2 linked regions of the Nothobranchius furzeri genome follow. The protein of the gene in region 2 purifies or fractionates together with the protein of the main gene of each other region. This does not show direct contact. Links are inferred from orthologs where the notes say so. Each region holds a gene or a part of one and is shown on either strand. Other genes may lie near its edges. The genes, in order: crkl and rapgef1b.

Region 1 (3,298 bases), about 14 Mb from region 2:
AGCTGCAACTTCAAGATGGTTGCTGCAGAATTTAGTTTAAAAAGCATGAATCCATCCTGCCTCATCAAAGCATAATGCTGCTGTCGGTGTAATGATGCAGCAAGGACCAGAATCTCTGCGTCTAGAATCTCTCCTTTAGTCTACATCGTGAGAAATTAGGGCAGTTCAGAAGACAAAGTGGGTCCAACTCCGTACTAGCGAGGTTTTTGTAACAAACTTCTAGAACCTACAGCACATCGCTAACATCTGTCCCGGACAAACAACTGAAACTCTGCCCTTGAAAAACTTGCCATTCTTCATCTCTGGGTCAGCTGATGTTCTTTTCTTAGCACTTCATTAAAATTCATTAATTGCTTCCTTTCTCCTGGGCCCAGGCACTCTAAACTGGAACTGTCAAAAATGAGAGCAAATACAACCATCCTGCACTCCAGAAACACAACAGAGGATGGCTGCAGACACCCATCTGTGCAGCACAAACAAGCTAATAGGCAAGAGCAGAAACACACAGGTTAAAGAAGTAGACATACTTTTTATTTAATTGTTCTGTACATAAAGGGTCAATACCAGCACAGGTGTTAACCATGGGAAATATTAACACATGTAAATGGCATAAGAAAATAAAAAGGCACAATTTTCAGTTCTTAAGTAAAGGACAGGCTTTCCTAGAATACGAGGCGAGAGCACGTAATACTGTTAATGTCTTTATGAAATAACTGGGTAGCGAGAGAAAAGCAAGTTCACCTCAGGTAAGGAAACTATCAGCGTGTATTGCTCGATTAGAATTTATTAATTTTAACATGAAAAACCCACTCGGATGTCCACGCATACCAGCTAGAATTAAAACTTTTATCCAATAAAATATAACAAAAAGCAGCTTTTCGTCCAGGTGAACCGTTTCCTCGGTCAAGAGATCATGCACGTAGGGCAACCAGCAGGCATTTTTCCCTTTTGGAAGTCACTTTAAAAGACACACGTACACAAAAAAACTTTTAAAAGCACAATTTAAATGCCAAGTCTGACCACACACACGCACACAAATTAGAGATGGAGAGGGAAGAGACATTTTACGTTAGTTCTGTTCAATCTTGAGGTCCTGCTGGTTGTTGCACAGTAAGAAAGACGTGCACAATCCGAGCTTTTAATAACATTTAAAATAGTCAGTCTGAGATGGGCTCTCATGCACTGAAAGCAGAAGTCTTATTCAGAAGGCATTCGTGGGATTTCATTGGTTTGCTGAACATCTCGCTTACCCTGGCGCCCGTCACCAAAAGGAGCATTTTAGACTTTAGTCGTTTCTGGAGGGAAAAGCTGACCATATTACTAATGACCCAGGCAGAGGCTTGGCACTTAGAGGGACAAAGTTGGTTTTGGTCACAGTAACTCCAAAAAATGTCTAACTAATTTTAAAGAGGTACTGTATGGCATTGAAGTTTTCAAGATAAGTAAAATCAATTTTTTGATCAGATGGCACAAACAAAGATAGCAATGGAATCAACACAAGGACATAAAAATGGTGGCAAATTATGGCAAAAAACTGCAGAAATGCCTTTTCTTCTCAATCTTTTTGATTTTACGGATAAAAATAAATTAAAACAGAAATGAATCAGTCACTCATCAACTCACAGCCAAACGTGTGTGGTACAACAGGGTCTTGATTTGGGGGGGGGGGGGGGGGGTTACTGGCTGGTCAGCTCCTCGTTGGCCCAGTGCTCTAAAGGTTACACAGATAATGCCTTTTCCCTTGCAACACACACACACACACACACACACACACACACACACACACACACACACACACACACACACACACACACACACACACACACACACACACACACACACACACACACACACACACACACACACACACACACACACACACACACACACTCTCCAAGACTTCTGACAAGACAAATGTTCAGGGGGAGAGAGAGAAAAAAAAGACATATCACGCACGTGCGCACACTTTTACATGCAAAAACGACTGATGCCCAGTGATGTTCTGGAAAACAAAACTGCCCTCTGTAAATACGACAGAAAGATAAAATGAACTAAGGGACAATAGTTCATGTTTTCGTAGAGCTCTGGTGTCCACAGCTGTAAACGGTCAGAAAGCCTTGCCACAGCTGGCAACATGAACAGATGGGGTCACCGTCATAGCACAGCCCCCAAGCAGGCAGGAACATAATGGCGACACCGCTGGGGAGAGGCAGACACGGCCAGCTGCTTCAGGTACGTGTCGAGAGGCTTCAGCTCAACTCCTGAGTCAGTCACTCTCATCAGGATTCAGGGGATCTATAATTTTGACATGGGTGAAAGGGAAGAGACCCCTTCGTCCATTCACTTCGCCTTCCCACTGGCCGCTGATGTTCATTCGTGTCACATTAACAATATCCCCGACCTAAGGGAAGGAGAGACAGATTTCATTAATATTTTACACAGAAATATAACTAAGCTTAAGGGGAGCAAAGATATCTCAGTGGGACGGGAATAAACACATTTTCAAACTGTTGTTACCTAGAAAAAGGAGTTACTGCGTTTCAAATAGCACCAGCAACAGAGGTTTTGTTTGCTAGGCTGTTAGCAAGGGAACCATCAGAGGAATAAAACATTTAGAACAACTATCTATTAAAGTATATACAGTGGTACAGAAAGTATTCAGACCCCCGTCAATTTTTCACTCTTTATTATATTGCAGACATTTGCTAAAATCAAATAGAATTTTAGACATTTAAGCAGATTTATTAAAAAAGACAAACTGAACTATCACATGTATTCAGACCCTTTGCTCAGTATTTAGTAGAAGCACCCTGTTGAGCTAATACAGCCATGAGTCTTCTTGGTAACGATGCAACAAGTTTCTTACACCTGGGTTTGGGGATCCTCTGCCATTTTTTCCTCATTAATTACAAACAGCACATCATATTGACCGAAAAACAAATAATTTAAAGAATTTAAGCAGATTTATTAAAAATGAAAAACTGAAATATCACATGGTCCTAAGTATTCAGACCAGGTTTTTTATTTACCAAGAATTTTCATGTCTCAGTGGGGCGACGGTGGCAAAGGAGTTAAGTGCTCGCCCCGTAATCAGAAGGTTGCAGGTTCGAGCCCCGCTCAGTCTGTCGTCGTGTCCTTGGGCAAGACACTTAACCCACGTTGCCTGCTGGTGGTGGTCGGAAGGACCGGTGGCGCCAGTGCTCTGCAGCCTCGCCTCTGTCAGTGCACCTGTGGCTACATTGTAGCTCATCCCCACCAGTGTGTGAATGGGAGTGTGAATGATTGTGTTGTAAAGTAC
Region 2 (3,825 bases):
GGTAGGGCTCTTTGTAAACCTCAGTGACGCTTCAGTCGTTTGTTCAGAGTTCCCCACAACCAGTCCCCTGTTTGCTTCAGTGGATAGCTTCTATTAGTCTTTCTCTCAAGTTTGTAGTGAAGTAGAGTTAGTGTCATGAAGCACAGTTGGAGGTCAGAGTCTGAGGCCCGCGCGGGCTCCTAGGTCTTCTCCTCACGGTCTGTCTTGCGCCTGGTGATGTTCCGAGGCTTAATTTTGAGCGAGAGCTCCCACAGGGCCTCTTCGGCTAGGTGGTCGCTGAAGTCGTTGAAGAAGGAGATTATGTCTTCGTTGCGTTTCAGCTCATAATGCCTGAAAAATGACGAAAACAAAGAAAAAATAGCTTGAAGAATGGAGAAGAGACAAAACTGATGTTTCTTTTACATTGAAAGTTTATAAAGTAGATTGTTTTTGCAAAGTTTGGCACAAGTTCCACTAAAGTTTTTCTGAAGGTCTTACACTTGCTGAAAGCGCCGCATACTGTCCAGAATGTTGAACTGCTGCCAGCGTTTGGAGAAATTGACCTTTCCATCAATGAGGTCAGGGTTTCCCAGGTGCACAAAGGTCAGGTCCTGCAGAATGAGACCTCTGCAATGACAGGCAAAATCAATTATTGTCAAGTCATACTTGAGCAGTGGACCTCTAATGGTCCAGACAGATTTACTCACAGGTACGGGATGCATGGAGGCTCCACCTCGGCCAGAGCAGCTCTGTATGCTCTGAAGGATGAAGAGCTGTCAATCAGCGTGCAATACTCCTCCAGTCCCTTAAAAAAATAAAAAAAATGTTAGAGAAGGTAACCAGCATGAAAAAAATGACATCTCCGGAGCAAAAAGTCCTCTCACCTCTGAGGTCTGCTTCTGCCACTCCAATCTCCGGATGGGGGCCGAGTCCAGGGCGGACAGTATTGCCAAATAGGAGTTAAAATTATTCAACTTTCTTAAGTGCTGCAATAAAGTAAAGAAATCTGTTAAATGCAATAAAAATGACATAAGTGATTCCTAAAAAAATGAAGCTACCTTCATTATCTTAATGAACTTGAGAAGCAGCTTCTCTCTGTCTTGGGCTTTTTCCTGCTGAATGATCAAAGATCGGACCCTGTTGGAGAGAGAAACAGCAGTAAGGCATCAGCGTTTCTGAAGTTCCAGTAATAAAAAAAAAGGATGATGAGTCAAGCGTTTAATCATGACTTTTGCTCTAACCAATAGCTCATGTTATTAAAGTGCTCTGTAAACTGAGTCAGGTTCGGACTCTTCTCCTCATTCTGCTCCTTCGCCCAAAGCAGAACCTCTGGAATCTAAACGAGAGAAGAGTTGAGGGAAACTTCAGCTTCAGCAGAGCTCGGTGTTAAAATAATCAGCTGGCAAGAGGGGGAAACAGTACCTCAATTTTGTAGAACAGCTCAGCATCAAGAAGAGTGAGCTGATCAGCGATCTCATGACTGCGGAAGTCATGAAGAGTTCCAGGTCTGTTAAAACACAAACATTCAACTTCAGGTATTCTCTCTGGATTTGATATGGAACAAAATATGATTTCAGTTTGATTAGGAAATTACTTATAATGTTCATTGTGTATTTTTAGATTTTTAGATATTTTTAAATCCATCTAACATTCCACAGCAATGGCAATAATGGAATTAACGGATAAAATATCAACAGCAATTGGCAATAAAAATGACTGTTAGTGTTTTCATTGATATGAAAAAAGCATTTGACACCACTGATCACTCAAGGTTACTTCGAAAATTAAATCAGTATGGAATAAGAGGTTTGGCTCATCAATGGGTAAAAACTTATTTAGAAAAAAGGAAACAGTTTGTTCAGATAAAGGACTATAAATCAAAAATATGTGAAAATAATTGTGGAGTGCCACAAGGGTCGGTCCTTGGACCAAACTGTTCATTTTGTTTATTAACGACTTGGTAAATGTATCTAAGACACTCTGTACCATTCTATTTGCAGATGATACAACACTGTTTTACTCGGGGAGCAGTGCGATCATGATCATTGATTTAATTTACATTTTCGGGATCAATATTGAGGAGGTGGCTAAAGTGATAAATGATGAACTGATTAAAATTAAAAACTGGTTTGATAAAAATTGATTGACACTGAATCTTAATAAAACAAATTTTATACTGTTTAATAATAAAAAGAACAGTGATGTATTATTGGAAATAGGTGAGATTGAAATTCAAAGAGTAAAAGAAACTAAATTTCTTGGAGTTCTTATTGATGAAGACTCGACATGGAAATCCCATATTAGTTACATAAAAGGTAAAATTGCCAAATCCTTAGGAGTATTACATAGAGTCAAGTTTTTACTGACTAATTCTGGTTTGTTGGCATTGTACAATTCACTGATTTCTCCACACTTGACTTATTGTGTAGAAATCTGGGGAGCAACATACAAAAACTATACACAACCCTTATTTATTTTACAGAAAAGAGCTCCGAGAATCATCAATTATAGTGGCTGTAGAGATCCATCGAACCCATTGTTTATTAAATATAAATTACTGAAATTTCATGATTTAAAAGACTAGAAAATTTTACAAACCATGTATAAAGCCAATTTAGGTATTCTGCCAACAAACATTCAGGGGATATTTGAAAAGAGAACTAGTAATTGCATGCTGAAAGAAACTGATGTGTTTACAAAACCAAGATTTAGAACTAAAATTAAGGAATGGAATATATCTGTAAAAGGTGTTAAATTATGGAATAACCTTAAAAGGGAAATTTAAAAAAACCCTGTCATTTAATATATTCAAAAAATGTACCAAATTGAGTGTACTAAATAATTATGAAAATGTAAATTAAATTAATGATCATGATCGCACTGGAATTTAGAACAGGAAAAAGTTTAAAATGAATCTGTACGTGTGTCTGACAAATGGAAATTGTATATAAATTGATTATTTTTTCTGGAAAAGGGGCAGAAATGTTTTTCTTCATTCTGCTCCTTTTCGTTCAAATTTGATTTTTTGTTATGTACTTCTTATTGTTTATATGTTTTATTTGTTTTTATTTTGAATGAAAAAAGAAAGAAAAAAAAATCCATCTAAGTGATGTAAACCATTATCTGTCCACCAGATGGCCCTAAATGGATGCTTCTCACTTAAATCCTATGAGATTGATTTTTAAACATATTTTTACATGATATTCTTATGTCCTATTCTTGTGTCAGTGTAGGTGAAACCTCCTCAACCTGGGCGGGCCTCAAGTGGGGTGTGCCACAGGGGTCTGTACTGGGTCCGCTTCTTTTTGCCATCTACTTACTACCGTTGGGGAATCTTCTTCGGCGGTTCGGCATACGTTTTCATTTTTATGCTGATGACTGTCCGATCTACCTCCCCCTTCAGCGGGGGGTCGATGGGTCAATATCAAAGCTTGTAGATGCCTTAGAGGATGTGCGCTCCTGAATGGCTACAAACTTTTTACATCTGAATGACGCTAAGACTGAAGTAATTGCACTTAGCCCTGGCATGTCTACATGCCCATGCGATGCTGTGAATCTGGGCCCTTTAGCATCCAACATGAAGACCACCATCTGAAATTTGGGAGTGCAACTGAACTCAGCCCTTAAATTCGACGCGCAACTCAACCAGGTTGTGCGATCGTGTTTTTTTAACTTACGCCGCCTAGCCAGAATTAAGCCCCTGCTGTCCAGAGTACATTTAGAGACTGTCACACATGCTTTTGTTCTTTCAAGGCTCGACTACTGCAATGCACTGTATGCCGGACTTAGTCAGGGTGCGGTAGCACTCTTGCAGTTAGTACAAAACTCAGTCGCTAGGTTTGTGAC

Evidence for each region.
Region 1: the proteins of rapgef1b (region 2) and crkl purify together in Homo sapiens (affinity purification with western blotting; 16 studies listed by BioGRID and IntAct, with this or other methods). This does not show direct contact. The link is inferred for Nothobranchius furzeri from reciprocal best matches to the Homo sapiens genes RAPGEF1 and CRKL.

The regions. Positions count from the first base shown.
Region 1 is NC_091746.1:46,868,923-46,872,220, forward strand, and holds the end of crkl (crk-like protein), read right to left. Parts: intron 2,402-3,298; coding exon 2,267-2,401; 3' UTR 510-2,266; downstream 1-509. UniProt on the Homo sapiens protein: May mediate the transduction of intracellular signals.
Region 2 is NC_091746.1:61,309,343-61,313,167, forward strand, and holds part of rapgef1b (rap guanine nucleotide exchange factor 1b), read right to left. Parts: intron 1,487-3,825; coding exon 1,402-1,486; intron 1,316-1,401; coding exon 1,221-1,315; intron 1,117-1,220; coding exon 1,038-1,116; intron 966-1,037; coding exon 864-965; intron 785-863; coding exon 687-784; intron 607-686; coding exon 478-606; intron 331-477; coding exon 180-330; 3' UTR 1-179. UniProt on the Homo sapiens protein: Guanine nucleotide-releasing protein that binds to SH3 domain of CRK and GRB2/ASH. Transduces signals from CRK to activate RAS. Involved in cell branching and adhesion mediated by BCAR1-CRK-RAPGEF1 signaling and activation of RAP1.